Drosophila melanogaster: one gene and its partners. The protein of the gene in region 1 interacts with the protein of each later gene in a pairwise test. Each region holds a gene or a part of one and is shown in the gene's direction. Other genes may lie near its edges. The genes, in order: CG30080, CG17600, CG1309 and wat.

Region 1 (7,906 bases):
CACTCGAAGTGCCCTTGCCGTTGGCTCTTCTGGCAGATGCGAATGTGGATATGCGGATGTGCGGATATGCGAATATGTGTCGAGAGGGCTGAGAGCGAAAGTCACAGAGGCTGGTCCAACAATTGAGCCATTGAGTACCGATAAAGTCATTCCCGGAGCATTGGCATATATGCACTAAACTCCGGATACCAGATATATACATGCATACGTGCGGCATTAGTGGTAATCCCTAGTTTGCCAGATTGCGCTTATGCCACTCGTTTAAATTGAATTGCCACGGCGCTGCGCCAGCGACTTTTAATGCGTTCCATGCAAATAGAGGCGCTCCTTCAGCGCCAACTGCCGGGCACGGACAACAATTACGCGCATTATCCTTTCGACTGGACTCGGACACGGACACGGACACGAATCCGGATCCGGACGATAACACGGCGTTTGCTTAAACAAGCATAAATGCGAAGCGCTAAAAGGACACTAACAGCGAAACGGAAGCGAAACTGCTTAGTTCGCGAGTCGAAGGATTAATGCTCTACCAATATTTCAAATTTAAATTAAATAAATTAAGAAAATACAAGTTACGATGATCCCTTGACAGAATCTCATTATAACACAACTAGTTTTGTAACTTATAAAATATCTGAAGGAATACCACATATTTAATTAAGCTCATTTGTTTGGTACCAATTTAGTTTATAACTTTTAAAAATGTAGATATTAGTATAGTTATTTCAAATTAGCTTCTTATTTATGTAGCCCAACATCGTGCAGCGCATTGGTGCTCTGAAATTTTAATTTGGCTAAGTAGCAGGCAGTGACAGACAGTGGCACTAGGATGCGAATACCTTGTTAGTGGGAATCATTCGGATTCGACCCATAGATACCCTGCATTCCCCAGAGAATCGCGTGCCCTTGGACTTCATTTCGTGGCCCAGAATGACCCAACCTCTCATCGCCCTGCTACCCTGCGTAGCTCGAAAAAACGCTAATTTAATTTTAACTTTGTGCATCCTTTCCTCGGACCTTCTGCAGGACCTTCTCCGCTGCTTGTCCGTTTATATATATGTACTCCAACCGACTTGTGTTTGATTTCGCTGTCAGCGTCTTTGGCACACTTTTGCAGCGCATTAGAGAGCTCAACTTTGGGGGGAGTGGGGCGGAAAGTTAAAGTCAGAAACGGAGACGGTATAAGAAAAAATGAATCTCGAAACGGACGCGAAAGAGTAAAAGTAAAATATTTGTCCTGCCACGGCCATTGCAAGTGAACAGCGCTGATTGCGGCACTAAAAAGAAACGGGTTCTTGTGCGGCGATAAGATTTTCAGCATCACCATCATCCGACTGCCAACTGCCAACTGCCCTTTTCATTGCGACTCCCAACTTAATCGGTCCGAAGTTTGGCCATCGCCGTCTAATGTGCTTCGCCAAACTTTTGGGTCCGGCTCAAAGGCAGTTGGCACCTCGGACCACTTTCAGTTATTTACGCAGCGTCGCCTGAACCTGACAATCAGCAGCAATTTGCCTCAGCGCCTGGGATCCGCACTCGAGTCCCATCCACATCCACATCCGCATCCGAATTCTTATTCTTATTCAGAAAGCATCCGATAAGCATAACAGTTGTCGTCGTGCCGCCGGCTTACACCTTGAAATCGGATTTTTAGGGTGGGTTCAGTGATGAGCAAATAAGCAAAAAAAGTTAAATTAAAAAAAGAAGTACGGTTATTTATCAAAATAATTTTAAAATATTATTATCAAAAAACTTTTAAATATTATTTTGGAGTAATTTTTCTAATTAGATACATATCAGGTCATATTTTATGCCTTTCCAACCGGGAATGGTATTTTTCCATTAGCTGAATGGGTTTGAAATAAGCAAGAAAAAGGATATATTGGCACCTCTGGTGGGTTCGGTGGTTTCAGTGGGTGGCTGGGCGTCTGGCGGCGGTGCGCTGCTGCCAACAAATCGTCGCCAGATGGTGGCGACAATAAAACGTTTTACAATGTAACCAAGGCGACGACAAGGAGCAGGATCCGTGTGGCCATGTGTGGACAACAATGTGCAACAAAGTTCATAATTGTTTATGGCGACGGCTTCGATTTGATTTTTATGTCTTCAGGACTTGGGGCAGTGATTGAGTGTTGGTCTCAGGCCACAACCAAGGGGAAAAATGTTATAACCTCTAGCATTCAACTGTTGTAAAGAAACCTTAGAGTTTTTACATGCACCCGAAATTCAATTAAACAATTGTAAAGTAATATATTTAATGGTAACTCACAACTAGTCGTTTCACATACTTTCGAAACCATTTAAAACTTAAGTACGTGCATGAAATGAAACTTTAAATTCACCCTCATGCATCCATGGAATCTAAAGGTATAACATTATGGCACATAAGTTGCTTTTCGTTTTCTATTTGGCTTAATGGCATAGAAACATTAGGGATGAAATTTCAGACTATAATATTCCCCAACCTGCGGGCCCCGAAACTCCCGCCAGTCCGTTGGCTTCATTATATTGAAACTTTGACGTCGTTATTTTGCATAATTTACAGCTCGCTTGAATGCAGCAGCCAAGTATATTTCTATAACTACGCCGGTGATGGGCGGAAAATGCGGGGGGAAACTGCGCGTGTCGGTTGTCAACGCTACCTTGGCACATGCGAAACGTGAACTTCGAGACATCGAGTTAATGATTCGCACTTGTTCGCCCCCGCCACGCCTCCTTTTTCGACGTTTATGAGGCAGTAATGAAGTTGATTTATTACATTACACGACTTCTCGGGATCTTCGATTTCTTCTTCAGCTCAACGCACAGAGCATTGAACTCTGCATAGAAAATAGATACGAAAATAGACGCATTGTGACTGCAGAAGTAGCCGGCTGAACTCAAACATCTGTTCCGCTAGTTCCGCCGGATCGAACCATTTCCTAGATGGCTATAAATAGATAATGTAACGCCCTAACTCCAATCTCAGACACGCGTCTGCGATCGTCAGCCGCGACTGAGGGCTAAATTTAGAATGTGGAGAAGTAGGGCCCGCCAGCCACCCAAAAACATTAGTGTGGAGCTCCAACTTCAGTTTCCTTAGGAGCGCCATGGAGTGCAGAGCTGTTCCCATTCTACCCACCTATTCTCAAGCCTGGTTCGTAGTGCACAGTTTTGGATTAGCAAATCTACTAGTTAGTTTTTATTCAACAGTGGTACTCCTATGCCCCGGAAAACGTCCCTCTGCCGTACACTCTTTGATTATGGTCCTCTAAACGATCCGGTGATCATACTCATAACACTGGCCGTCGTAGTTGGATCCTTTTGCCTGCTCAGCGGATTCATTTTACTGTGCGTTGTCTCAAAAGCCTGGCAGGATGAGACTTCCGAGGCCATTCTCCTAATGGGTGAGTAACAGTGCTATTGAATTGATTGTTCCTATGATGAACTTTGGGTTTATAGCGATTGGCTTCTTCATCACGGCTTTGTCCTGCGTATCGTGGAAATTGACGCGAGCTCAACGAATTTCCCAGTTAGTGGATGCCCTCAGCGTAGATAACCAAACCATTTAGCTTGAAAGTATCTAACGTAAGACATATGAAAACTACGAGCTTGCAATTAGTTGCAATATACCTGATAAACTCTAAAACGTTCAACATTAGGGGCTGTCCGAAGTAAGATTGGTCTTAAGTTGTTTTTCCTATTCGCTTATGTTAAAGTACATGAATTATCTTATCAATGTCACCTATTTAATAATCTTGTTTGCTTTATAATAATATAATAATAATAATATTTAATATTAATATTAAAATATTAACCGAGACTCCCTGGTTTCGGACTAACTTAATACATAAGTGGGCTAATCAACGTGCCACCGCACGCAAAGGATAACCTCTCATTCGGTTTTGAAAGATTCAATTGCAGCAAGGCCATCCAAAGTCGAGATCCCATTTGAATCTCGCTCCCTCCAGTTATCTTCTGATCCCCGAATTCTCCGCACGAACTCTCACTGGCAATCAGCACGAATTCCTCACAGCAAATGAATTTCTTTGAAAGATTGGAATATCAGCATATGTCGCTTTGTTAAATGACCACTCACTTTAGAATTTGAAAAACAAGGGGCATTCCTCTTTATTTCCAAGTCCTTGGCGGTCAGCTGGTCCTTTGGCTTCGAAACTATTTTCGCGATGCACTAACATTCTCTGTAGTGTAAGCATTTGCCTGGCTTCTGATCGTAGGTGGTGCAGTATGTTTGATCTTGGGGAGGGAAACATTACTACAGGTCACCCCTCATCTGCTGGCACTTACAGGGCTTCTCTGTTTGGTTTCCAAAGGGAACTGCTTGTCCGGATTGTTGACCAAGTTTAAGGCATATGACCAGGAGCAGCAATTGCAAAACCGTCATTGCGCCACCAAGCTCTGATATGAACTGAATGCAGAAGACAGTCAAACTTCAGAGGAATCTCTGTGGATTATCTGATTACAGGTAGCTTGATTGCATATTGCAGTGATTAAATTTACAGAGAAACAAATAATGCTGCAGTGCAGGATAGAGAACATTAAATATTTATTTTAAATATAAAAAAGGGTGAAGAATGAATGCGTTGATACCATTTCTGTTAATATCTTTGTTTTCGGCTAACATAATTGTATCTTAAAGCTGAATTTTTACTGAATTAAGAGAAGATTTGCTCATCAGTCATATTACTAGCATAAAGAGGTTTTCGGTTAGATACACATCTAAAGAGTAAACCATATTGCGAATTGTAGGTAACAAGAATTTGATCCTCACTCCATCCTGCTCTTAAGGACATGACCTACCCCTGGGCATCTGGAGGCGCAAAGAAAATGCAGCTGCTTGCGCCCCTACCTGAGATCAAATAGTCCTTGATCCTCAGTCCGAAACGAGAACTCATCGAGAGATGCCACACTTGCAGAACATCGAGCGGGATTTTCCCCTTAACTGGACCTTGAATCCCATTCGGATCTCTAGTAGTCTCGCCGCAAATACTCTTTCCTTATATCGAAAGATCTCGCAAAACATGTGGCGCAGTTGTATTCAATTTTGCCATAGTCCCAAGTTCCAGCAATATGTTAGGTAAGTTTGGATACAATGATATTAGATATACATATAAAAAAATGTCCCTCCCTATATCGATTCTTCCAGATTCCTCGAGTCCAGTCTCTGTCAGTTTTAAAGAGCAATGATCCAAGAAAATGCGTCGTCGCCTCGTCTTCAAAACAGATTGCTTTTGATTTGCAATCTTGGCACGTTGACGATGCCAAAATTTGTTAGTTGAATTCATTATAGCGATACGCAGAGAGTCAGTCAACGATCTCGTTCCGAGAGGGGGGTTTCGCTTTGTTGTTTCAGAGTTCTGAAATACAACAATTTGTGGCATTGTAAAGTGCTCGTAACGCGATTGGGTTTGGGGCATTTCCAAGTCGGCGGCTGGGAAACTACCCTTGCCGCAGCAATTCCACCATCCAACCTTCAGTAGGGGGAAAACACCTCGCTTGGAGCTGCAATAAATTCCGGTCGCTATCAAGACGAGCGTTCAGTAACGTTTCAAAGCCAGACGCGCTAAGATTGCTAATTCCAAAGCTTCGACCAGTCGACGAGCATCAGAACATGGAGCACATTCGATTTGTTGACAAAGTCTTTAGAGCCCTGATCGCCGGCACCCTGCTGCTCCTGATGACCGCCATTTACCGGGAGGACAACAACTCCGGATCCCACTACATCCATCCAAGACACGCCATGCAGTAGCTCCATCGTGGTCTACTAAGATCGATTCAACCTAGTCCGATGCAATCGAATCTCTCGAAAGTGCGGCACAAAAACCGGTTGTGTATATTGCCGGCTCGACGACATATCGCCATATCAACTAACTGCACAAATAATGTTATGTTATATGTTAATAATGTTAATGTTAAGAAACATGTGTAATTATCTATAGCTCATCCCATCGTAACTAATCTAACTTATGTGCTATAATGTTAATACTTAGAAATTAGTTTTAGTGTGAAAATATAATATAAAATGCAATGTATATGAACACAACCATTTTGCTCAACTTGCAGATAACATGGGATCGGGAGGGCTCTGAAATATCGATTAGCAAGAGCTATTCGCACTCTTTGCAAAACAGGTTGCAATTTCATGCGATCCGAACTTGTTTATAGAAAACATTTTTAATGGGCCAATTTCAAACGACTTTAGCACGAATTTCTTTCTTTATCCGTGGCATACTCTAGAAGCTGACCTTAGCTAATATAAGCAATCACGTTTTGCTTATTGGAACAAGTGTTTTGAGCAAATTAAATTTCCGTGCAAAAGAGCTACAAGTGATATGAAGAACATTGGTACATACGACTAAGTTTTGCGGTATTTCAGTATTTTAAAATTGTTTTAATAAATAAATAAAAAATTACTAGAAAATGTATTATCAAAACTAAAAAATGTTTAATTATTTAAACATTACACAATGCATTTAAACAATTTTTCAATCTACATACATATCCTCCTAATTTTACATCACCAACGCTTAGCATGGTTTTCAACCAACAATGTAAGATCGAATCTTTTCTACATGAAATGTAACAAATATATGCGAAACTTGGCTAAAATAAAAAGTCTTGAAACTCAGATGGATTTGTTATATGTATAACAAGAAAATCATAATCAGTCAATTGAGATTAAGCCAATAATATTGTAATTTTTTTAAAAGGAAAACAAGATTTGTTGAGTTTCTTTGCTTAGAAACATAGAAATGTTAAATGCGACATAGTCTTTATTGTTCAACATTAAACTTTTTAATTTATTATATTAAACAAGGACTAGCAATGAAAGCTTACTATTGATATTATATTATTTCGGGTAGTAAAATACTGGAATTTTATCGACCCATTTCTTTAATGAACGGTTCATATCCGTCGAGGGTCCGTATTGCCGTACCACCCGTTTTATCCAGTCAGCGTAGCTCAATAGATCCATGAGAATGCCAGAGTTCTGGCACTGGCCCTTCACCCTGCTGGCGATGCCCAGTTGCACATAGCGGTCTGAGCCATTGTGCCACATTTTGCGGATCTGCGGAGCCCCGGAGTCGGTGCTGCAGAGTTGACTCAAGGTGTTGCCGGCGCAGATCTGTTCGAACGTCATATTCCAGCCATAGATTTCGGAGCACGTCTCTTTGGGTTGGCGGTCGATGTTCATGGTCCGAAGAACTTTGCTCGTTGCGTTAGCGGCAGTTTCACGCCAAACGGTGGTCGTAAACCAGGTGAGCTGGTCTATCGGCTCCTGGAAACGGTTGCTTGCGAAAATGCAAATCGGACGTATGTGATCTGCATATGTGAAATGCATCGATATTATAAAAATGTCGTACTCATATCCTAACTAGACACACTTAAGTACTCCACCCTCCTTCCGAGTCGCAGCATGCCGATGTCGTTGGTTTGGTCATTCGCATTATAATACCTATGCCTGAAGCCCATATCCACATTGTACTCCTGGAAGGGTTCCTGGCACAGGTGGTTGTCACAGTCCACCTTAGTCTTCGTGTTGTACTCTCCCAGGCGAACGGTTCTTTAAGAAAATAGTTTAATTAGATTCACACTGAGTATAATCGTAATATATAAATATGTTTTTAATGATTAATTACATTAGCAAGTCGTCCGGAACACAGTGAGCTGCCGTTAAGACGAACACTGAAACAGAGTTGCATTAGATCTGCACGACAAGTATATCATATGCAAACATACAGTGATTAATTAGAGTGCCAGAGCAATGGAATCCTTTTGGAGTTTCCAAATAGGCCATCCATGGATTCTGCGCCAACTTTGCATTTACACTTCGTTCAGAAATGTTATGCGGAATCCCGCAATCCTCTTCCAGGAGCATTTGAAATCCTTGCACGCGACGCCA
Region 2 (7,432 bases), on another chromosome or scaffold:
TCTGTCTTTCTCGCTTTGAAATGCGAAGAGTTGGTACAGCAGATTGAAAGACACTTTGATCAACTCAAAATTCAGTGTTTAGGGAGCTTCAACCATCCTCTTGACCACTTGTTTGATTTGTCTTTCGAAGGGGTCTCATTAATCATGTGTCCAATGAGCCGGAGCTTTGCATTGTTTGATCCCACCTGAAGCTAATTACGCACCATAGCATTTGTTGGTCGAAGGGCAGGGCGGAGGAAGCGGCTAAAAAATGGATATTTCAAATCGCGCATACGCCCCGCCTGCCAAGTGAAAGATACTGAGATGTGAACGAGAGGAAAAAAGTCGTCAACAGGCGACGTTTTCGAAATTATTCAACTCTCTCTCTCTTCGCTTGCCCCTTAAACATCATTTTGAAAGAATTCCAAAACCCAATGGAGAGTGAAAGCAGCCGGCAAAATGTGCGAGTTTCGTTTGGTCTGGTCTTTCGCCGGAGCCCCCAAATAAAAAATCCGAACAGCTCCCAAAGATCATTGACTGTTGCTGTATCTGTGTAATTTTCATATCTCTGAACTTTCGTATCCGTGTGATTTTGTCACCTGTGTGTGTGTGTGTGTGATTGCGCTGTGCCAGTTTGTGTACCACACTTGCTGCGTGTTTTCATTTTTGGGCTTGGCCCGATCGGCAATCAAAGTAGTGAACTCGTTTTTTAGTCGCCCTAGACTTATTGAATGTCTGGTTAATGGCTAAGGGGAATTCATCGGATACGTGTGTGCGTGCATATGGTGTACATTTAACACACATTTGCGATTTGTTAGTGACTGCTAGTTTGTGTTGTTTAAACTAATATTCTTATGAGACCGAATATAATATTTTAGTTGAAATGGTAGAAATCTGGTGCAGCCCAATTTCCAAGAATTATTATTTTGTCTACAAATATTCATAAATTTCCTTTTACATATCAACTGCATTCTTGCACAACTCTATTCTCAGCCGTGCCGTGCCAGCCGGTTAGTTCATCGACATATTTGGACAGACAAAAAATGTACAATATGTACATATACTATAAGCTCCTTCTTAATCAGCCGATATGCGATATCGTATTCATGGATATCTTTTCTGCTTATCATGGAGTTCATTTCGCAATGTGATCAGCGATTTATGAGCACGCCGCCAAATGGAAAAGAAAACGGAAGACTAAAGACACAATCGTGTCGCAGCAGCGGCTGCAACTGCAGCAAGCAGCTGCAGGTTGCAACTTACATAAAGCAAGTGCCAGAAGTAACAAAAGTCAAAATGAAGAAAAAGCGGAGAAAAGACTACAAACAAGTGGAAAACCAGTCACGAAATTGCCGGCCAGGAGTTTTTGTGCAATTGACTAAGTATCTCTCCATTTTTCGGGCTTGAGTTTCTGTTGTCTCATGTGTTTTTATTTTACCACTTGCGTAAAGTAAATGTTATACCCGTATACTTGTAGAGTAAAATGGTATGCTAGATTCGTTGAATATATATTGTTCTATATGTATATATATTCTTGATCAGGATCAATGGCCGAGTCGATCTGGCCCTTTTCGTCTGTCCGTTCGTATGTAAGTCGAGATCTTAGCAACTATAAAAGCTTAAAGAGGTTAAGATTAGGCATACAGATTCTAGGAACATAGACGCAGCGCCAACAAACCACGCCCATTCTAACGCCCACAAGCTACCTACTTTGAAAATTGTTGTGCTATTTTTTCATATTGTTATGTCTTGTAAATTCCTATCGATTTGCCAAAAACTTTTTGCCACGCCCACTCCAACGCCCACACTTGTGAGAATGTTTTGATCGTTTATCTATTTTGCACTCCATCTCGTAGTCCTCCAAGCTGATCAACGGGTATCTGGTAGTCGAGGAACTTCTCTCGATGTTGCTACTATTCTGGGTCACTACAAATCAGCTCCTGGGCATCTTCTTTCGCTATTTCAATGATGTGACATGTTTTTGCTGTTTTCGCTTTCATATAACGCGGATTGAAAGCTCTTTTTAAAGCACTTTACTTAAGAGCAGACGCGGTGCTTGCGTTGCGCGCCAAAAAGTAATCAAAATGTTTAAGTCCAAACTCAAATGGTAGCCGCTTCTTTTTTCGGGTTATTTTATATGGCCTATAATTTCGGAATATATTTTTTGTAGCCTTTTGTTTATGGATCTGCTGCCTTTCTTGTGGGCTGCTGCCGCCGTTAAGCATTCGCATTGCATCGGTTACACGCCTTTCCAGTTTACAAAACGTACTCTCTGCCATTTTTTCTTTGCCATCCCAGAAACACGAATGCAGTTATATAACAGCAATAGGCTAAAATATCCATGAAAAGCCCGAGCCGAAAAAAGATTCTCCAGTCACGTCTTTCTCGGCAATGAACAAAACGCATTTTTTCAATCCAACCCAAGGCAACAGCATTGAAAAAACTTGCTAATGAATAATGGAGAGTAATGGGAAACTACTTTTTATTCAACTGAGATTGGTATATAAAATTTATAAAGGTGCATAATATAATTGGTAAAAATAAATAAGTTAACTATACTTATGTTATACTCAATATTCTTTATTTTATACTCAATTTTTCTTTATCACATCTCAATGTCTTAGATGTAATGAAATACGTACATACATATGTACTATATTCACAATGATGAAATAAACAGAACTATATACGTATGTAGATTTCTTGGCGGGCTAACTATGTATTTTCCCCACGTTCTCGTTATTTCTTTAATCATTTTCTTCCCCGATTTTCCACCTGATTTTTCGCCCTGAAATCACTCTCAATTTTGTTCGCCTGTCGCAGCATTCCGGCGTGACGTCAGCAAATTGTTCCTTTTGTCTGCAGCTGCAGGTGAAGAGCAGATTGAAATTGAAATTGATTATAATTTAACGGCGGTCACCAGGTTGAATATGCTGGCAGAAAGTTCAATATTCGAAAGTTCGTTGTTGTTGCTGCGCCTGCGCACACTCATTACCGTTTGTTGTTGATTGTCGGCACTTCTTTAAGCGCAGATTTACGCTAACAGGTTGTAAAACTGTCCGAACAGTGATGCCCCGGTGGTATTTTTTGAGTTTTCCAGCCAAATCGGGCTATGCAAGAAATTCAACTCTAATGTTACGCGGAGGTCTTCGGTGGAAGGTGCATACGGTACGTACAAATATACATACACACATATGTACATACATACATATGTACAACAAGTGTAGCTACTTCTTTTGGGGCCTCCATCACCGACATCGACTGCAACAACAGTATGGTGGCATACCAAAAGTTAAAGGCTCCGCTTTGCCAGCTTTTCGGCCAGCGACGTCGACTGAGAAATGCGGCGGTTGAAAGCGCGCGAAGCGATCAACTTGGTTTCAGTTAGAAACGAACGCGCCGCCGAGAAACTCGCAAGCGCATGCTCGCTGTCTTGCGCTCTCCTTCTGCTTTCGTCTGTCTTCGAGTAACGGTACCGTGTGTGAATCGCCAATTAACCGATCGCTTTATTGCCTACTTCGATATTTTATCGCCGCATGTATTTTTTTTGCAGTTGTGTGTTGAAGTGAAATGGAATTTGTTGAATTTTAATTGCACGCAGCACGCTGCCGGCGAAAACAACAGCAAAATTAGCGGGCTGATTTCATTCAACCTGAGATAAAGCAACAATAATAGCGCACAACACATCGCAAAGGCGCAGCAGGAGAAAATAGCTGATAAATAGACAATAATAAATAAATATTACACACAAAGGCCAGGGACGCCGCTTTAATTAGAGTAAGTTTGCACAGATAAACTAAAAATAAAAGACTGACGAATGCTTGAAAAACAGAAAACCGTTTTAAAAACATACGCAGACAACTTGGCACAGAAAGAGTCTCTAGAGCACTTGAGAAATCACACAAAATCAACTAATTGCCCAGAGTAACTTATTCAGATAAACATGTTCTCTGAAATCTACAGATGGTTTAAGTGGAAGATGTCTAATTTGTGTTAACAATAACAACAGTTGTTTGAAATGCTAATCTTCGTCAAAGTTATTTTGACAAATTGCGTAACTTACGTAAGGGTGATAAGCAAGGCTTACGTAAGCTTTCAGTTCTGCAGTTCTACAGTAATTCTAGGAATTTAAATGTTGCCTTTGAATACATATCTGCTAAGCGCAACCTTTTCTACATTTTCGAGATGTTTTCGCATTCTAATGGCTCTAAAACGAATAGCTGACCAGCGTACATTAAGTGCTTCGAAGTCTCGAGGCAAAGTCATTAAAAGAAAGACCTAACAAGCTTCCGTCCTAAGGTTGTCAAATTGTTGCCCCTGTACCCAGCAATCCAGCAAAAACGCCTCATAAATACTTTATATTCCGCGGAATAAATCCTCTTAGCAATTGTTTCATTCGGGCTGACCAGCAAGCAAAAAAAAAATAATAAAAATAAAATTAATATGTATAAAAGAGCGAAGGCAGTTGACAAGACTTTATCAAGGAAACTGCACTCGTTTTAAAAAATTTGTCGTGGATTGCAGCCCAAATTCGATGGGAACTGAATTTGTACTTGAGTCTCAATCAAAAGTTAGTCTGTATTGTTTTTATTTTATTTCAAATCAATGATGAGTCGGAAATATAAATTTTAAAAATAATTTTTTTTATTTTTTTTTTTTATATAAAATATAAATTTTTTTATGGGGGCAATAACGTAATTTCTTTCCAAAAATTATACCTGTTACTCGTAGAGTAAGACGGTATACTATTGTAGATTTGTTGAAAAGTATGTAACAGGTACGTAACAGGTATGTAACAGGTAGAATGAAGCGTTTCCGACCATATAAATTATATATATTCTTGATCAGGATCAATAGCCGAGTCGATTTGGCTTTGTCCGTCTTTCCGTATGAACGTCGAAATCGCAGGAACTACAGGATGCGGCAGCATAATTACCTTTTTTACGAACTCAATGAAAACTTTTGTAGGCATCGAAAGATATTTGTTTATTTTTATAATGTAGGTACATGTCTAAAGTTTTTATTTATTTATTTTTTTTTAAATGAAATCTGATAGGTGACATTCCCCATTCTCCATATATTGCGTAAACCGATTTCTGGCGTTTTGTCGTGACTCTTGTTTGTTAGCATAGCAGGTGTTAAGTTGTCAATTTCTTCTTGGATGTTGGTTTTTAAATCTTGTAGGGTTCTTGGACGGTTCACATAAACACGGGATTTCAAGAAACCCCATAGAAAAAAATCACAAGGGTACAGATCGGCTTCATCACTAAAATATAAACAATAGCATCCTCGGGAATGACATCAAGAAGAATCGTTCATCCGAGAATTGAAGTCACGTTCTGAAAGTTCCTGCACTATCGCCATCTTATACGGATAAAATTGAAGATCATCATGAACAATTCTTCTCACAGAACGCCGTGGCGATCCCAATGTTCTCAGGTGATCTAACGGGTCGAGGGACTCCAGTTCTGCGTCTCGTCGCACTTGCACTTTGCCTGAATGTAGTGACCCATGTGACAATTGATTTGCGGTCTGGGACGTTAGCCAACGGGGCTAAATTAAAGCTATTCCGAAATGCACGCTGTGTTTTAATAACCGAACATCCACTTGAAAAGTAGACCTCAACGGCAAAGGCACGCTCCTCACTATTCCAACGCATATCTGCCGATATATCCCAGAAAAATTATGAAATTTTGCATTCGCATTTCCACTAGCTGATTGATGAGAATTTCAATAATTGCATTATCAATCGACTGTAATGCCAGTGATCGTATCGTATCTTCGAACCCGATTGAGCAGCGGTAGGTTTCGATAAAGGGTCTTGAAACTCGCATTTGCAAATACGTTACACGCTGCATAATGGCTTGATACATTTATGGACACTCATATGGAGTTGTACTCTTAGTTTCATAATCATAGTCGGGACGGTTACACTCACCACTCCACTCCATTCTCCGCCCTCAGCACGCGTACTTATGCGATAATTGCAGGAAATGCAGCGCACACCACACACCAAATGTTGCATGCAGCGAAAGTTTTTCCTTGAAATGCGCATATTATAAATAATAATAAATGCGAAACGAAACGAAAAAATTGCAAAGAGACCAAAAAAGCCGCGCTGCCCACTGGCTAATTGAAAGTGAAAGGGGGAACCAGACGCACAGTGCACAGGCAGAAAATGTGTAGAGCGTCTTATATGTATGTCAACTACTGATTATTGAACTGGGACATCCTAACTTTTTATTTAGCAAAAACAAAAAGATATTATGAGTTCGTGCTCTGAAATTATTATAGAGTTATCGTTATTAGAGTTATTACTATAATATGATATACAATATATTGTTGTACTTTTCATAAAGCTAAATAGCAGTTCAAAATTTTTGCACTATTTCTTTGAAACCTCCAACCTTGGAAAATCGACAGTTCCATCTAATGATATGCCCGGCCCACCACTTCATTTCCTCGCGATCGGGCAAGTGTTTGGTTTCGTTTCGATTCATTTTGATTGCCGCCGCGATATGTATGTCTGGTGTTTTGTGGCCCCTTTTTTGAATTTCATAAGCTCGGCCATAAATTGGCCTGTTATCCAGTTAACCAGTTGGCCTGTTGGCCATCCGCTATTAGCCGCGTGCGTTGCACTCGTTTTCGAGTGTTCGTGGCAAGTGCGTAAGTCACTTTGCAGCCAGCAGCCACTTTCCGCAGACACGCCGCTTGATCTCTTTCCGTTCGTGCAATTATTTTCGTATGAAGTCATTTCAAATGTTAATTCCAGCGGCGGCAAACGGCGACGACCTTGCCGCCTTAATTGTCCGCAGATTGGGGAGCGGAGACCGTAGATCATGGGGGCTGTGTCCCCGGGGGGATCGGGTTGTGAGACTGTGAATGCGAATTCGATTGCGTGCAACGTTTGTTTTTTAAACCAGATTAGGCAGGCACGTCGCGAGCTAACCAAATGCGATATATGCAATACATTGCGCTACGCCTTGCCAAGTTGCACCCAAAGTCGGAGTCTTATATTATTTCCACATTTTTCATGAAGGTATTTATTAATTCAACTATTGAAAACCTTAAATATATAAAAGAGAACACTTCAAGAAATAATTAACATACAACATCGCCAAATCCTCAATATGGTATCAAACATCAAACCAAAATCATCCTAACAGCTACATTTTTTTAAGTGTAAAAAAATGTCGATCTCACGAAGAGACCAAATAAAAACAAGAGAGAATGCTATAGTCGAATGACTATAGAATGCTATATAGTTCCCCGACTATCAGATACCCCTTACTCGGTTAGTGTTAATGCGAATTTCATCATTTGCGAAATTTCATCATTTTTCTGGTCGGAAACGCTTCCTTCTGCCTGTTGCATACTTTAGAACGAATCTAGTATTTACGAATTGTATTAATTCAAAAATCGGCCAGTAAATCCAATTTATTTTTTAAATCGT
Region 3 (7,385 bases), on another chromosome or scaffold:
GTCACACTCAGAAGCTGCAAATTTCGAATTTCGACGGTCGCTATGAGTGGAGCTCTCGGAGATGTGGTGTCCGAATACCTGGAGCGCGGCCCAGTGCTCGTGGTGGCGGACCTCCTTAGCCTGATAACGGTCTCGTCCTGCCTGGTGATCAAGGTTCCGCAGATAAACACGATACGGGCGAACGAGTCCTCGAAAGGTGAGCACCGCCCACACAACATCTGCAACCTATCCTCCCACTCATATGATACGGATTTATGAATTAGGCATCAGTGTTTTGGGACTGTGCCTGGAGCTGTTCAGTTATACGGTGATGTTGTCGTACAACTACACCAGTGGCTACGACTTCCTCTCGTACATGGAGTATCCTGTTTTGCTGCTGCAGGAGTACGCCCTGATTTACTACGCCTTCAAGTACCAGGATCTGCTGGGAAGGAGGACGCAAGTGGTGGCCATACTGTATAGTATAGTGGCCACTCTCATATACATGAAGCTCTTTCCCATTATCATCCTTAAGTTCCTGGTGGTGAGTAAGCCTGTATTGATATCACCTAGTGACTGATTAGTCGGGTATTCTTGCCCAGATAACGACTTCGGCGCAGTTCAAACCCGTTCCCCGCTCTCTTTTCCAATTAACTAATTATGTTTCCGGGCAAACGGGTTTGGTTTGATTTGTTATTTGTTTTAGTTTGAAAAGGCGGTGCTCTTAACTGGGCAGCATCTTCGCTCAAGGTCACCGATGTTTGTTGTATAATATTTGAGCGGCTATTAATACTTTCAGTGCTCGGGCAATATATATAAATCTCGTGAAATTCATCTAAATGTTTGATTTCCCGTCAGCCTTTCTGCACTCCCATTGGAGCCACGAGTAAGGTCCTCCAGCTGCTGGCTATTCTGAGGACCAAGGATGCCAGTTCCGTCAGTAGAACCACATGGGCGCTCTCCGCCTTTACAAACATGAGTGAGATCACATCTTGCATTCCATCACTTGATGTCATCAATTAACACATCATATATGTATCCCTTACAGCTCGAATCTACACGGTGTTCTTCCAGTCCCACGATTGGATGTTGCTATCAAACTTCCTGATTTCGACGTTCCTTAGCGCCTCCGTTTTCACCGCCGCTTGCGTCTACAAGAAGAAGGCCAAGGCGGAGTAATTGGCCAGCCTGATTAGAAAAGCTCAACATAGACAAACACTGCGCTGGCTGGAAATGCTTATCAGTCATTGTTTTAATTCTATTTGCTTATCTGTTTAAATTGATATTACAAATTCTTGTTTGAATCGGTTGTTGTTACTCGTTTAACTGTCCGCGTAGAAAGCCACCACAATTGCACCCACAACTGTTAGAATGGATACTGCATAGATTGCTCTACGTTGCCAATCGATCTTGGTCTTGGCCGGTCCAGAACCCACAGTTTTGCGCTCCTTGTGCTTGCGTTTGCCGAACTTGGCCTCGAACTTCTCGAGTTCCAGGCGGTTTCTTTCTTCCTCGTCGCGACGCTTTTGTTCCAGCTGCAGTTGCTCTGCCGCCTGGACGCGAATTTGCTCCGCCTTGCAGTTCGAGTCGCAATCCAAGAATGTCTGACCAGCACGGTGTTTGTCACAGGCAATCTCCTGCTTGAGTCGCTTGCAGGCGCAGAAAATGCGAACCTTCTTGCGGCACAACTCGGGATTTGGGCACTTGCCTGTGTGGCAGATGGCTGTGCAGCGATGTCCGCAAGGATACTGAAAAAATATATATATCACTGTAAGGCTTGATCGACAATGGTATATTACAGCACTTACATTCTTCAAGCATCGATTACCGCAGCTCCGTAGCTTTTCTCTTCGCTCGATGATCTCCTGGACCGATCCCGTTTCATCATAATACTCGTTGCACTTGTAAACCAACTGGTTGAGTCCACAGTGACACTTGGTCTTAATCACAAAGTTGCAGGGCGCACAGGGCGGTGGATGACATCCTTTGGGACAGGCGTGAATACATCCGGTTGGTCGGGGAACGGTGCAACCCTCCTCGCAGTTGGCACAGCCAGTTTGCGCAGACATATCCTGGGGAAGCGGTACGAAATGGCAAACCAATGAACACTTGTGATTGCCGCACTTAAGCTGACGTGCACACGATCGCTGACAGGAAGTGGGTTTGGAGTTCCAGCATGGCCAAGTGGCAACCTCATGACCTCCGATACAGGTGACAATGACGCCTTCCTCGCACCGTGGATGTGGTAATGCCTTATACTCATACTGTAAAACAAATTGTAGAGTTTTAATGTTGAGATAGGTGAGTTTTGTGATTATAGTTACCTTTTTGGCCTGTGGCCTAGCCTCTTTGGGTTTATTAACTCTAACTGCCTCGTGGCATCGTGCCTTACAGATGTGCCCACACTTGCTGGTGTCATTGGGTAGACCGCACACTTGGCCACATGGAGGACAGTCACCCTTGTGACAACGATGCTTAATGGCATGGTGACATTTGGGAGTTATGCTGCAAGAAGTGAGATTAAAAGTCGGTCATTATATATTGCGAAAGAAATACGAACCGACAGAGTTCCAAGCAGACAATGCGTGCACTTCTTTCCCTGCCACAAGGAACACTTTTTTTGGTCTTTCCACAGCGGCAGTTAATCTGGGATTCCAGTTTACACGGATAGCAAGGTCCGTTGTGGCACACGGACTGACATTTGTGCTTGTTGCAGCTCAGCTGCTTGCCACAAATCTTTTCGCACGGTGGACACTGGTCCCCACAGCACTTTAAAAAAGGTTATTGGTTAATTCGGCTGTATACATTTAAAATGCTTGCGTGCTCTTATACCTTTCTATTGCATGCATGCTTGCCGCAATCACGCATTTGCTTGCATTTAGTCTCGCATGCAAACTCTTTGGAGCAGGGCAACTCCTTTTCGTGCAGACCACAACGACACTTCTTTTTGGTTCTTATTGGGCACTGTAAGAAACATATTTCATTAGAGAATCGATTTGCTTCCCTGGTGGCTATCTTACGGAAATGCAAGGTCCACGATGACAACGCTGGGTGCAAGTGTGCTGGCCACAGGACAAAAGTTTTTGGCACGTATCGCCACAGGTTTCCTCTGTCTCATTACAGGGTCTTACCTGGGTCTACAGAATTAGGTAATCATAAATGAATATAAACTTGTAAATAAATATATCACATACATTCTTGCCGCATGGGCAACTCCTGACTTGCAAAGGACACTCTCCATCTCCGCAGGGTCCAGCGTGACACACCTTCTCGCAAATGTGCAAACCACAAGCAAATGGAGCTCCACAAACCTGAAAGAATATTAATGTTGTTTTATGCTTCAGCTTCAAAAGGCTTTTCTTACATTCTGACACTTCCATTTCCGATCGGAGCAGTTGACCATCTTCGACTCCCGCTGGCACTCGCAAGGTTGTAAGCTTTTGCTGGTGCATGGAGGACACTTTCCTGGCTGATGACACACCTGATTACATTTGTGCTTGCCGCAGGCTAGAAGTTCCTTGCACTGGAAAATCATTTTTTTAGTATGGTGGTCAGACAAAATTTCTTAAAACGTTAAGACTTACAGTCTGCTGACACGTCCACTGCTTGTCAATGCACCTCACGGACCTAGGACTAGATTTACCACACAGGCACGAGACCTGCGCCTGCTGCGCACAAGGAGGACATGGCCCCGGATGACATAGCAGCTTGCAATCGTGCCCACACTTCGGTTGCAAAAGCTTTCCGCAGTGCTCTCCGCATGAGTGGGGCACAAGGAAGGGCTGGTTCTCGGGGTTCACCTCCTTGCCGCAGAAGCAGTTGTACTGCGTGGGCTTATCGGCCGGTTGGTAGTCCCTGCGGCACTTGGGGCAGCACCAGTGAAGGGATTTCTGTCGCTTGGGCGGCACAAATTCGCCCAGATGATTGTAGTGGCCCTGGCCGTTCTGCTGCTCTGCCGCCTTTACCTTCATCTGCATCATGCTGTCGTTGGCCCACCGTTGGATGCACTTCAAGTGAAAGAAGCAGTAACAGCTCTCGCAAGACCAAATGGCCTCCACCCGCCGAATGCTTCCGATGCAAATGAGACAGGTTGCCGCTCCCGAGTGTAGAGTGTTTTCCAGAAACGTACTGGTGCGTGCCGCTTCCTTTGAGCTTCCTGCGTTGTCCGACGGTTTGTAGTTCTTGTATAGGAGTTCTGAAAAGATAAAGCACAAAATTTGATGGTTTTCAAATGACACGTCACAAGCATCGGTCGATTTACCCAAAATGTGATTCTCATCCAGTTCGCCTTCATCCTCGGAGCTGGAGGCGTAGGTGTCCACCAGTTTTTGGGCGGCAGCCAAATTTTTAGCTTGCGCTTTATTAAACTTTTCCATTTTTAAGCCGGCGTTTTTGTCTATCAACTGGGAATAAATTCCTGGGGTAGAACCAGGGATGGCTCGTTCTCTGATAACAGCAATTAGGGGATCTAGTTCCGAAAGGTACACATTTGTGTGAGCTTTCAGTTTCCAATTGGGAATTTCATTTAATTCAAAAAAAATACATACATACACATTAATACCTAAATTATCAAACATCCTCTCTGCATATTTTATTGCATTTAATAATTTGGACCAACATTTTGAAGTTTACAATTAATAGGTCAGGTATCTAATGTGGCAGCCCTGGTATTCGATGTTAAACATCTGTTCGTGAGTGCGACACCCTGGAACAGCTTTCACATCATTTGCAACAAAATAAAATAGAGAAAATTAAATATATCCAGACATACCGACTACGATCCGATCCAAGATGAGTTTCCTAAATTACGTGTTTGGCCCCAACCTCTACATGGAATACCGCGGTGTGCCGGAGCCGCAGCGCAAGATGTACGAGGCAGGTGCCGTGGAAAAGTTCGGGGAGCAGATTCTATCGACGGTAAGTGCCCTGCGATCCCATGGGGCAGAATCTGGAGCATATGGTAATGTGGAAAATCGACACTCTCCGTTGCAGCTATCGGTTATGTGGTCCGTGGGCTATTATACTTCTCCGCTGCTCGTCACATTCCTATACCGACGCGGCTACCTGGTGACCGATTCCATACCGACGCTGGCCAAGATCACCACCAGCGTGGGCCTCATCGTCATCCTATCGCTGGTGATGCGCGGCCTGGGGCGCAAGCAATCGCGCTCCTACTCCAACATGATTAAGGCCCTCGTCCGAGCAAAGTCCTCCAAGGCACCAGGAGATGCCAACAGCGAGCTGCGTCGCTTCGACATCGAGTTCAACGCTTGGCCGGTGGACTTTGATGTGAAAGCTCTAACCGGGTGAGTGGGCTACGCCTTTGAAGTGTGCCAGAATAACATCTTCGTTTTCAGTGATACCAAAAAGCCGGTGGTTACGGCTAGAAGGCGGGAGCCCATCCAGCTGGCGACACTGCCCTGTGAGGCCATCGCCTACCTGGCCATAAACACCTTTGGGCTCTCCATGATCTATCCGGGTTCGGTCAAACTACTCCAGAAACTTATGAGTAAGAAAGATATACATATGTGAAGCTGTCTGAAATGTTGTTAAATTGCAATCCGATAAGCCCATAAGATAGACTTCTACATATACTGAACCTAAAATATTTTGCAGGACCCATGCTGATCTCCGGACGCGCCAAGCTCATCGAGGATGACAACGGCATCCGCTACAAGGTTAAGACCATTGACTCGAACGAAATCGATACGTTGTTCATTGACAATCGCCCAAACAACGTGGGAAATGGCAAGACTCTAGTCATTTGCTCCGAGGGCAATGCCGGTTTTTATGAAGTGGGCATTATGGCCACCCCAGTGGCCTTAAAGTATTCCGTTTTGGGCTGGAATCATCCCGGATTTGCCGGCAGCACAGGCACTCCTCATCCCCACCAGGACAAGAACGCCATCGATGCCGTGGTGCAGTTTGCCATCAACAATCTTAGGTTCCCCGTAGAGGATATAATTTTGTATGGCTGGAGCATTGGTGGCTTTAGTACACTATACGCTGCCTCTGTGTATCCGGATGTCAAGGGAGTGGTACTAGACGCCACCTTCGACGATGTGCTCTACTTGGCCGTTCCTCGCATGCCAGCTGCACTGGCGGGCATTGTCAAGGTAGCCATTCGAAACTACTGTAATTTGAACAATGCCGAACTGGCCAACGAGTTCAATGGACCCATATCCTTTATTCGCCGCACTGAGGATGAGATCATTGCAGAGTGAGTGATAACTTTTGCATTTGGGCAGAGGTCTTTCCTAAAACGTAACCCATTGATTTCCATTAGGGACAACCACATTGACACAAACCGCGGAAATTTCTTGGTCTTGTCAGTGCTCAAGCACCGGTATCCCAACATTTTTGGGGCTTCCCAGTTGAATAAGGCCAAGGGGCTGCTGTCTAAGCCCCTGGAACCATACAGTATCCCCGTCGCCGACGAGAAGCTGTGCATGTCGCGCCTGATCACCTACGCCTCTGACGAGGGCAAGTCATTCCCCATGAACATTGGAGCAGATTACTCGGAGGAGGTGCGCAATCTGATGGCTGTGTTCTTGGTGGGTTTATTCGGCAGTTTAAATGGTCTATATATCTAATACTGTTCACCTTTCAGCTGCGCAAGCATTTACGTGACTATAACTCGACGCACTGCACCCAGCTGCCCGGGGAGTTCTTTACCATGCCGTGGGACATACCCACTGAGCAGGGATTTGTGTTCACCTAAGCTCATTCCGCAGGTGATCCACGGCCGTATGCTTAGATTTAGTAAAATGGTTTTTAGTAATTTTTGCCTTCTGACTGCTTATTAAATTATTCTAACTGGGAACAGCCGGGTAGCTGGTGTCTTCTGAACTGGTGTGAAATTATATACAAAATAAATGTCACAAGCTAAACTAGACGCGTCGTCTTGTGGTTAGTTTCTATTTCATGGTACAGCTAAAATTGGAGGGGAGGGGCAGTTCAACACTTAGTTCCTACGAGTTCTTCTTTGATCCACCGAAGCCGGAGAAGCCCATGATGGCGGCCATGTCGTCGGGCATGCCGCCGGACTCGAAGTCCGTGTCCTCGGCCTTGCGCTTCCGCTCTTTTCGCTTCTCCTTGCGGTGTTCCTTGTAGCGATCCTCCTCCTCCTTGGCCTCCCGCAGGCGGCGCTCGAGCTCGTAGTCTTTCTGCTTCTCCTCCATCTTCTTCTTGTTCTGCTGGAAGCGCTCCTTTACCTGGTCGACGGTGCTCCGCTCCACCTTCATGGACATGCCCAGATTGCGCTGGTGCTTCTTGCCATTGATGTGGTCCAGAAAGTTGATGGAATCCTTGACCACGCAGTCGCAAACGTTGCAGTAATAGCCACCGGATTGCGAGGTGGGTGTGTTCTTGTTGATGACAACGCTCTTGCCCAGCTTGCTGTCCAG
Region 4 (7,453 bases), on another chromosome or scaffold:
CGTGGCCGAGCGTCTTTGAACCCGCTCTGAATTTCAATGGCTTCCGTTCAGCCATGTCCATGTGTGTCTTCCAGCCAATGTGTTGGTAATTCTGCATTCTACCGTGACTGATACTTTTATACCCTCGATGGGGCATTTTATTTTTGCATTGAATGGCGAAGTTGCACATTGTCACAAACCATATTTTCACTCCGGGAATTCCGTCGAGAAGTGTTCCCAGAAGTGTTCCCAAATTAGATTGCTCACCACTAAATTCAGGCATTTGCTTGACTTTGCAATTAGAGAGTAAGCGACCAATTCCAAGATCTTTATAGTATATATCATTCCTTGGCTTCTTCAAGTTGTGAAGGGTATTGAAAGCATAGGTTTCTTTGTGTGTTAAGAACATATTGGAGGCGTACGCTGCGTTCCGTCTGGCCATAAAATAAATCAAGCAGCCCGACACCAGAGTCAATAGTAAATCACGGCTGAAACGGCAAATTACCAGACACTACTGGCCATCATCTCGTCATCGAGACTCCTCGAATAATTATGCGGTGACGCGACGAATTTTCCACACACTCCAAATGCCGAATTAGCCCTGGCAATTACCTTTTTAGATTTGCAGCTTCTGGACTTTGAGTTTGATTTGTTATGGCCGCTGTTTTCTTTTTCTGTTTGTCTTTGAACGGCGCTATTTGCTAGTCGATTTGTTAGAATATCGAGAGGTAAAAAACCCAAATGACTTGGCAATTTGCCTTGGCTATTATCGCGATGACGAAGCTGGCCAGTTTTTGGGGGTGCAACCGTTTGGATGGATCCGCGATTTCGGCCCGGATTCTTGTCGCTCAAGAGCACCAAGGTCAACTTTCGCTTTTTTAGTGCTCCATTTTATTGGGTTCTTAAATTTCGGTTGCGTTTATTGCACTTCGCTTTTCAGCTCGACTGTTTGGTTAGTCCATATGATTTTGGCCATACGATTGAGCCTGGTAATGCAAGCTAATTTGACGGTCCATAAACGGTCTGTGTGGAACATAAAAAAAAACCACCATATAACTAAATAGTTTATAAAAACAATAATCGTAGAATGATCAGCTTAAAAAGTATTTTAATTTGGCTCGAACGTATTTCAATGCCCTTGAAAATAAACAGGTAGATAGTTGAACCTTTAATAACTGACTATGTCAGAAACGAAGAATAACTTTTTAAGCTAATTACTAAGACCAGGTGCGAAAATCGGCGAGAAATCAGATTTTCAAGGTATTGACTCAAAAAGGTAACACTCAGTTGTCTGGGTAAATGTTGCCCTATTTGCTCATTGCAAACTGTCCGCCTACAAATCGTAACTTTTTATATAATGGAGCCCCGAAATCTGCATAAGTAAAGAGGCATTTCAAAGCAATTACACAGCATAAATAAAGGCATCAAACAATCTGCAGGCCGTTGTACCTCGAAAGTGAAGTAATTATACATCAAAAGCGAATCATGTCATTGTCAAGTGTTTGAACAGAGCTGAACAAGATCGGATCATACCTGAAAAGTGTGCACTTGAGTGTCTTTTGATGGGGCCACCATTAATATGCAGTGTCTTGATCGCGAATATTATTATTTTAATTTCGTTATTTCGCATTTGTCATTAATGGGCCTTTTGTTTCGTTTTCGTACAGCGTTTGTGCGAGAGATATTCGAGTTTATAGACTCTTTGAGCTTGGCTCTGGTGTGAGAAGATACTGCGTCAAGATACAGATACAGATGGGATCGGCGACAAAACATGCTGGGAACTACGTGATTGATGGCGGCACTGCGATTACCAGCCGAACAGCTGAACAGTACTGAACTCGACTTAGAATACTCGGCCCAGGCGAATATATTATAAATGCTGGGATATATGCGAAATCAGTGAAATCTTGTCGCGTCTAAAAAGGAAAATCACACAGCAAATGCAAAATTTATGAGCGAACTACGTCGAACGACGTCTCCGGGCGAACGGAGCAGGAATACCAATTGGGCTGGGTTTTCGATTGGGATTCGTATAGGGATGGAGCGGATGTGCACTGCACTCGAGGATGAGTCAGCTGAGCCGGAGGTCCGTGTGGGTTCAGCCCTGTCAGACAGATCAAACTATAAAGACAGGGTCCAGGTTCGCCGAATGTCTTTAATTAGCCAGCACGGTTTCAGAGATCTCATCTAGTAATCACTTTATTTACCAGACACAACTTGGGGTCAGCATGATAATCATATGCTATCATCACTTAATTAACAACGGAATTTTTTATACAAGATAAAAGAACATACATATAATGCAAAGTAATCCAATACATTTTCGGTTAATCATTTTGCACTTCTTAACAATCATAATGATAATCCGAAAATTCAATCGCTATGTATTCAATTATATGGAGCCTCATAATATATGATATATGTACACGCTGCGTATGAGTAATATTTACAGTTCATCTCGAAATCTTTGCTAATATTTTGAGTATTCGTCATCTTCGTTGGAATGATAACTACTAGTATACATTGGGTATGGGAATATTCAATTTTGAAACTCAACTGAATAAGGCAATTGTAAAAGATACTGGCGTAATCTTTGATTACCAGCACGTTTTGTTAATTGTTTATTAAAGATGCTTTGGAACCTTCAAAATGCTCCATTTAATAGGATGAATGGCAAGCTGTAAGCTAAGTAACCGGCGCTATTTTAACCCAAGTGACCAGCGCTTAAGTGAAGTCCGATGTACATATACCGCAAATATATCTCAAATGCTTCGGCTTTACGAGGCTCCATAAAATTGGATCATAACACTGGCAGTGTCCGAAAGCGATGCTCAGGTGCGGCAAGTTAGTACGACTATGTACATGTGTACACTTCAATCGCCAGTCCAAACTGCGCCACTCAATTTGACTTGATTTTTTTTTTAAGTTTGGCTTACCGCCCACAAAACGCCGCAGTCGCCGTCGCAGTCGACGCCACCGTCGCTGAGGCGCTGAGCCGCTGAGCCACCAAACCGCTGAGCCGCTGAGATGCCAAGCGCACCACCATCGAGCCGCTGAACGGCGCCGATCCACGGACTGAGAAGCCGCCGTCAGGTGTTGTGGTTTTTGCGAGCCTCAATCGAGCTGAGTCTGTTTTCGTCTGCCTGGCAGCGCGGTTCTGGAACGCGTAACGCTCGCATCGACTTCAAAAGTTAGTTTTCAAACTCGGGACTCAATTCGCTGGATATACAAAACCGATTCGGTTCGGATCGCGGTGCGCTCCCAGTTTTTCCACCTGTTGCAACCAATTTGGCATCGCTCTTTTCGCTACTCTTGTGCAACAGCGCGTGCTGCAGTTGTAAAGCGCGTTTGGTTAGAGAATTTTTATATATTTCGAAAGTGGCAACTGAAAAAGATAGAAAACCAAGAGATATATCCCTGTATGCCAGCGAGCAAGATTCGTTTTGGCAGATCCACGAGCCCTCCAATTAGCCAGCAATTTGCGGAAAGCCACTCCAATCCAATCCGTGGCCGTGGGATCTGTGCCTGTGCAGCCAGCAAATCGGTGAGTCTTGAATTACATGGGATTATAGACAATCTGCTCTGCTATCCGTATACCTGGTAATCGTATGACATATGCCATTACGTATATGCTAGGCACTGTAGGTAGTGGTGGTGGTAATGTAGCTGGCGTTGATGGCTTTCTAAAAAAAATACCCATATACCCAAATACCCAAAACGGGTTGGATTCGCTCCGCAGGTGCAGGAGGGGCCGACGAAGAGCTCATAGCCAATTGCCAGCACACAGGCATTCACGAAAAAATGTGTGAAATTTCATTGAATTTCCCAAATTTAATACACAAACAAACCCACTCGGCAATTGGGAAATAACTCATTGTTTTGCCATTGCAATGGCAAAAGAGTTACGGCTGCCAAAGAATCGATAATCGCCAGTTGGATTATTATATTACTCCCGTGGTCTTTGTGTATTTCAAACAAGTTTGCATTCATTCGTATTTTATATATGGCCAAACCCAAAAAATAATTGATTAGATTGGGAAAAACATTCATTACTGGATCAAGAGCAGTTCGATCAATATTTAAATTCCCACTTAGCAGCTCACTAATTTGGCAGAATAAATAATATTATCTGTGACATTTGGTTTTACAAATCCGTGACTAATTGTTCTGTGCTGGCTATAAAAGAAATTACTTGATGCTCAAAAATATACAAAAATATACATACCTTTTGTAAAAGAGACTAAAAGGCCAGAAGAGGATTTTAAATATTTAGAAGATACGCATTTCAGTGAAATGTCGCAATAAAAATGTGTTGCATTAAATATTATTATATTACGTAAATCATATTTCAGCTGCGCAGAAATGTGCAATTTGCCTCAGCTTTACAAGCCATTTAAAATCCGAACTCAATTAAGCGATGTAATTTGGAAATTAAAGTTCATAAAGAATTTAAAGAGTGGACGCCCCCAAGCCCTTTATACAACAAATACTTTCGTTGGCCAAATTTAAATGGCAATGAAATGCATTCAATGAAATATGCATGAGAATATCATCATATCGTGCTGAAATGAAACAGAGTTTAAAAAATCGATTTGTGTGCCACAATTAAATGGGCCTCAAGGATGCAATTAAAGTATCTAAGTATCTGTGCAGGAAAAACCCAGCCAACTCTTTAATTGAGGCGAGACGAGAAAATAGTGCTAAACTTCATGTCATAGCGATTCAATTAATTCGCAATTTATCAATTTTCAGTGCCAGGGCTTTTTGATGCGGCCAAACATATTTCATTTGTCCACCACAAACAACTGGTATTCCAGTTCGGATGCGGATGGGGATTCGTTGGGAGTTCGCTTCGGGATCCGTGGGCGGATGGCTCTGGTGGCTCTGGTGTTCCATGTTCCATGTTCAGTGGGCTGACGTGGTGGGGCGTCAAGTGGAAAATAATCGATGATGTGCCCGGGCACAATGCAAACATTGAATCAAAGTCAAATAGCATTAAACTTTTTGAACTTGCGAGGCGCGGCGAACATAAAAAAAATGAAATAATAATAAAAGTTTGCCCGCCTTCCAAGAGGCGTGAAAGCGCACACAAAAAAGTGGGCAAGCGGGGTAGGGGGTTTTTTTTTGGGTTCCTGGGTTTTTGGGACTCGGTGCTGCAGTTTTGGATCTCCCTTTCCAGAGATTTAGTGCTTTTCTTTTTTTTGGATGGATAAGCGCAGCGTTGCGCAAATATTTGACAAATCCCGCGAAAAGTCTGCTTATGTTGTCACCTCGCCTCGTTGCCATTTCTATCCAGCACCCAGGGAATGGAATGGGATAACTGGGATGGGATGCGATGGGATTTGCAGTGTGACTGGCACTGGGCCAGTCATGCTGATTAGGATTGCACCGAAAGACACTTGCCACTTGCCACTTACCACTTTCAACGTGCGACAATGTTTTCGAATTGAAATCCGAATCGGAATTTGCATGCGAATGCTCGCGGTGTAATTTATATTTCGCACTTGGCGCACTTTTCATTTCGCTGCGCGATTTTGTTTATGCAATTTGGCCAACTGCCTGCCGAATGCCAAAAGGAAGGCAAACGCCTCAGGCTTCAGGCTTCTGGCTAACGAGTGCAGGCGCGTGTCTGTATCTATATCTGTATCTGCACCTCTATCTGTATCTGTATCTGTATCTGTATCTGTATCTGTATCTTGTGGATAGGGAAGACCCCCCGAGATTCCCATATAGCAGGTGAAGGCGAACGTAAATGCGCCAATTTGTATGCAAGCAGCATTAATCGAGGGGTAATCCGGCAGCGATGCATTGCAGCCAGTTAAAGCCCAAGCCCAAGCCGATTCCGAATCCAAATCGAAGTCCAAAGCCAAATCCAGAGCCAGAGCCACTGCGTTTCGACCTGGCCAAGAGGGGCCGACATTACGTGAGATGTGCAATTGCACGAAATTGATTTGCAATCGATAAATGTGCGAATATTGCTTCTGCTGCGAATTAGCAGCCAAACAGCCAAACGGCCAAGTGTCCAAATGGCCAAGATATCCGAAGGCGCTCTTCGCCTTGCATTTTCCAGGCGTGTTTAAGTATGCATAAATAACTCATCGGCCGCCTGACCATGAATCCAATTGGGAACATCTTCATTTAAATTGTTTAGTAGCCGAGCAATGCGGCTGAGTAATGTTTGCATTGTATCTGCATCTGTGCCTCCGGTATCTGCACATTTTTCAAGCTGCCAAGTGGCAACGTTCCTAAATAAAGGTATGTTTTGAACATAAATTTTGTCAATTTCAACTATTATCGGGTGAGTTTGCATTTACCATACTCGTATAAAACGTACGGTTTTAAATTACAACAAAGATCGAATTTCCATGCAGATATTCTATATATTTGTAGATAAAAGTGTTACACTTGTAGCTGTTCATTTGAACACGGCCATATTAAATTCTGCATGCTCATTTAATTAGTGTAATTATATTTGGCACAGTACATATGTAGCTGCTCTGATATGTTTCATATTACACTTATTAATTATTTAACGAGCGCTGTAATATATAATTGTAAAATTCCTGCGGTCTGAATAGCCCACTCTGAGTGACAGCCAGTTGATTTAAACGGAATGTGTTCTTTAACTATAGATGAACCATTGATAAGAGGTTAACCCAAACATTGCAATTATTTATATATTTTAATGCAGCATCTGGGCGGAGAAGCATATAAATTATATTGTTGCTGAAACTTCCCATGCCAGCATTGATATTGATAAAATTCAAAATAAATCCAATCGCTTTCGGGCGTAAAAAAAATCGCCTCTCTTCTATCAAAATCGCTCCTTGGCCTGTGTGTGTGTGTGTGTGTGTTTGTGCTCACGCTTTGTGCTGCAAAAATTGAAAAATCAAACACAAGGAAAACCACTCGAGATTCAGCAGTGCAATCGATTTCCAAAGCAACATTGGTGGTCGTACCAAAGCAGTTGTATTGGTAATATTGGTAGCATAGTAGCCACTGACAAGGTCAGCACTTGGGCTTTTATTTGGGGCCCGGCGGTTGTCGCATTCTAAGCAAATCGCAATTGCCATATAGCTGCAGCTATCTACTACAGCTATACTCGTATATACAATACATTTGCTATTAGCTCGTTGTGGAATCGTTTGTTGAATCGTTGTTGAATCGTTGTGGAAATCGTGGCCCGGCCGTAATACACGTATTAATCTTGCCTCGCTTCTTGTTAGATGTGGCGTTGTTTTTGCGGTGGCAGCTTTGCTTTTGCCTTTTTGCTTAGTGCTTTTGCTTTGCTTTGGCAGCAACAAGTGTTTAATTGCGATAAATGCACCTGACCGCCTTGAGCCTGAGCTTGGGTTTGGGTTGAGACTGGGTTCGGACTGGGTTTGGGCAAGGCTTTCTGGTTCTCTCAGAATCTCTGCTGCTTTTCCACCTGCCCACTGGCCAGCACTACGCGAAAAGGTCAACACAATTCGGC

What was found.
Region 2: the proteins of CG30080 (region 1) and CG17600 interact in a two-hybrid assay, tested with the Drosophila melanogaster proteins (one large-scale study listed by BioGRID).
Region 3: the proteins of CG30080 (region 1) and CG1309 interact in a two-hybrid assay, tested with the Drosophila melanogaster proteins (one large-scale study listed by BioGRID).
Region 4: the proteins of CG30080 (region 1) and wat interact in a two-hybrid assay, tested with the Drosophila melanogaster proteins (one large-scale study listed by BioGRID).

The regions. Positions count from the first base shown.
Region 1 is NT_033778.4:15,696,862-15,704,767, reverse strand, and holds CG30080 (uncharacterized protein), read left to right. Parts: upstream 1-3,071; 5' UTR 3,072-3,092; coding exon 3,093-3,139; intron 3,140-3,195; coding exon 3,196-3,389; intron 3,390-3,444; coding exon 3,445-3,554; 3' UTR 3,555-4,904; coding exon of another isoform or gene 4,905-5,080; intron 5,081-5,149; coding exon of another isoform or gene 5,150-5,180; 3' UTR 5,181-5,614; coding exon of another isoform or gene 5,615-5,752; 3' UTR 5,753-6,042; downstream 6,043-7,906. Other genes in the region: CG46433 (uncharacterized protein), read left to right, coding at 4,905-5,080, 5,150-5,180; CG42662 (uncharacterized protein), read left to right, coding at 5,615-5,752; CG33462 (uncharacterized protein), read right to left, coding at 6,854-7,326, 7,389-7,567, 7,644-7,689, 7,744-7,906.
Region 2 is NC_004354.4:22,511,838-22,519,269, forward strand, and holds the start of CG17600 (uncharacterized protein), read left to right. Parts: upstream 1-3,359; 5' UTR 3,360-3,451; exon of another isoform or gene 3,452-3,532; 5' UTR 3,533-3,756; intron 3,757-7,432.
Region 3 is NT_037436.4:4,254,773-4,262,157, forward strand, and holds CG1309 (uncharacterized protein), read left to right. Parts: upstream 1-4,657; 5' UTR 4,658-4,770; coding exon 4,771-4,896; intron 4,897-4,971; coding exon 4,972-5,285; intron 5,286-5,336; coding exon 5,337-5,488; intron 5,489-5,595; coding exon 5,596-6,199; intron 6,200-6,265; coding exon 6,266-6,533; exon of another isoform or gene 6,534-6,589; coding exon 6,590-6,700; 3' UTR 6,701-6,871; downstream 6,872-7,385. Other genes in the region: CG1265 (uncharacterized protein), read left to right, coding at 43-196, 264-523, 838-958, 1,028-1,158; CG15011 (uncharacterized protein), read right to left, coding at 1,302-1,727, 1,788-2,243, 2,304-2,484, 2,540-2,748, 2,812-2,943, 3,000-3,116, 3,174-3,290, 3,344-3,502 and 2 more; CG11586 (uncharacterized protein), read right to left, coding at 6,951-7,385.
Region 4 is NT_033777.3:29,016,093-29,023,545, reverse strand, and holds the start of wat (waterproof), read left to right. Parts: upstream 1-3,139; 5' UTR 3,140-3,523; intron 3,524-7,453. UniProt on the Drosophila melanogaster protein: Catalyzes the reduction of saturated fatty acyl-CoA to fatty alcohols. The preferred substrates are C24:0 and C26:0. Necessary for the final stages of tracheal maturation, to facilitate the transition from water-filled to gas-filled tubes.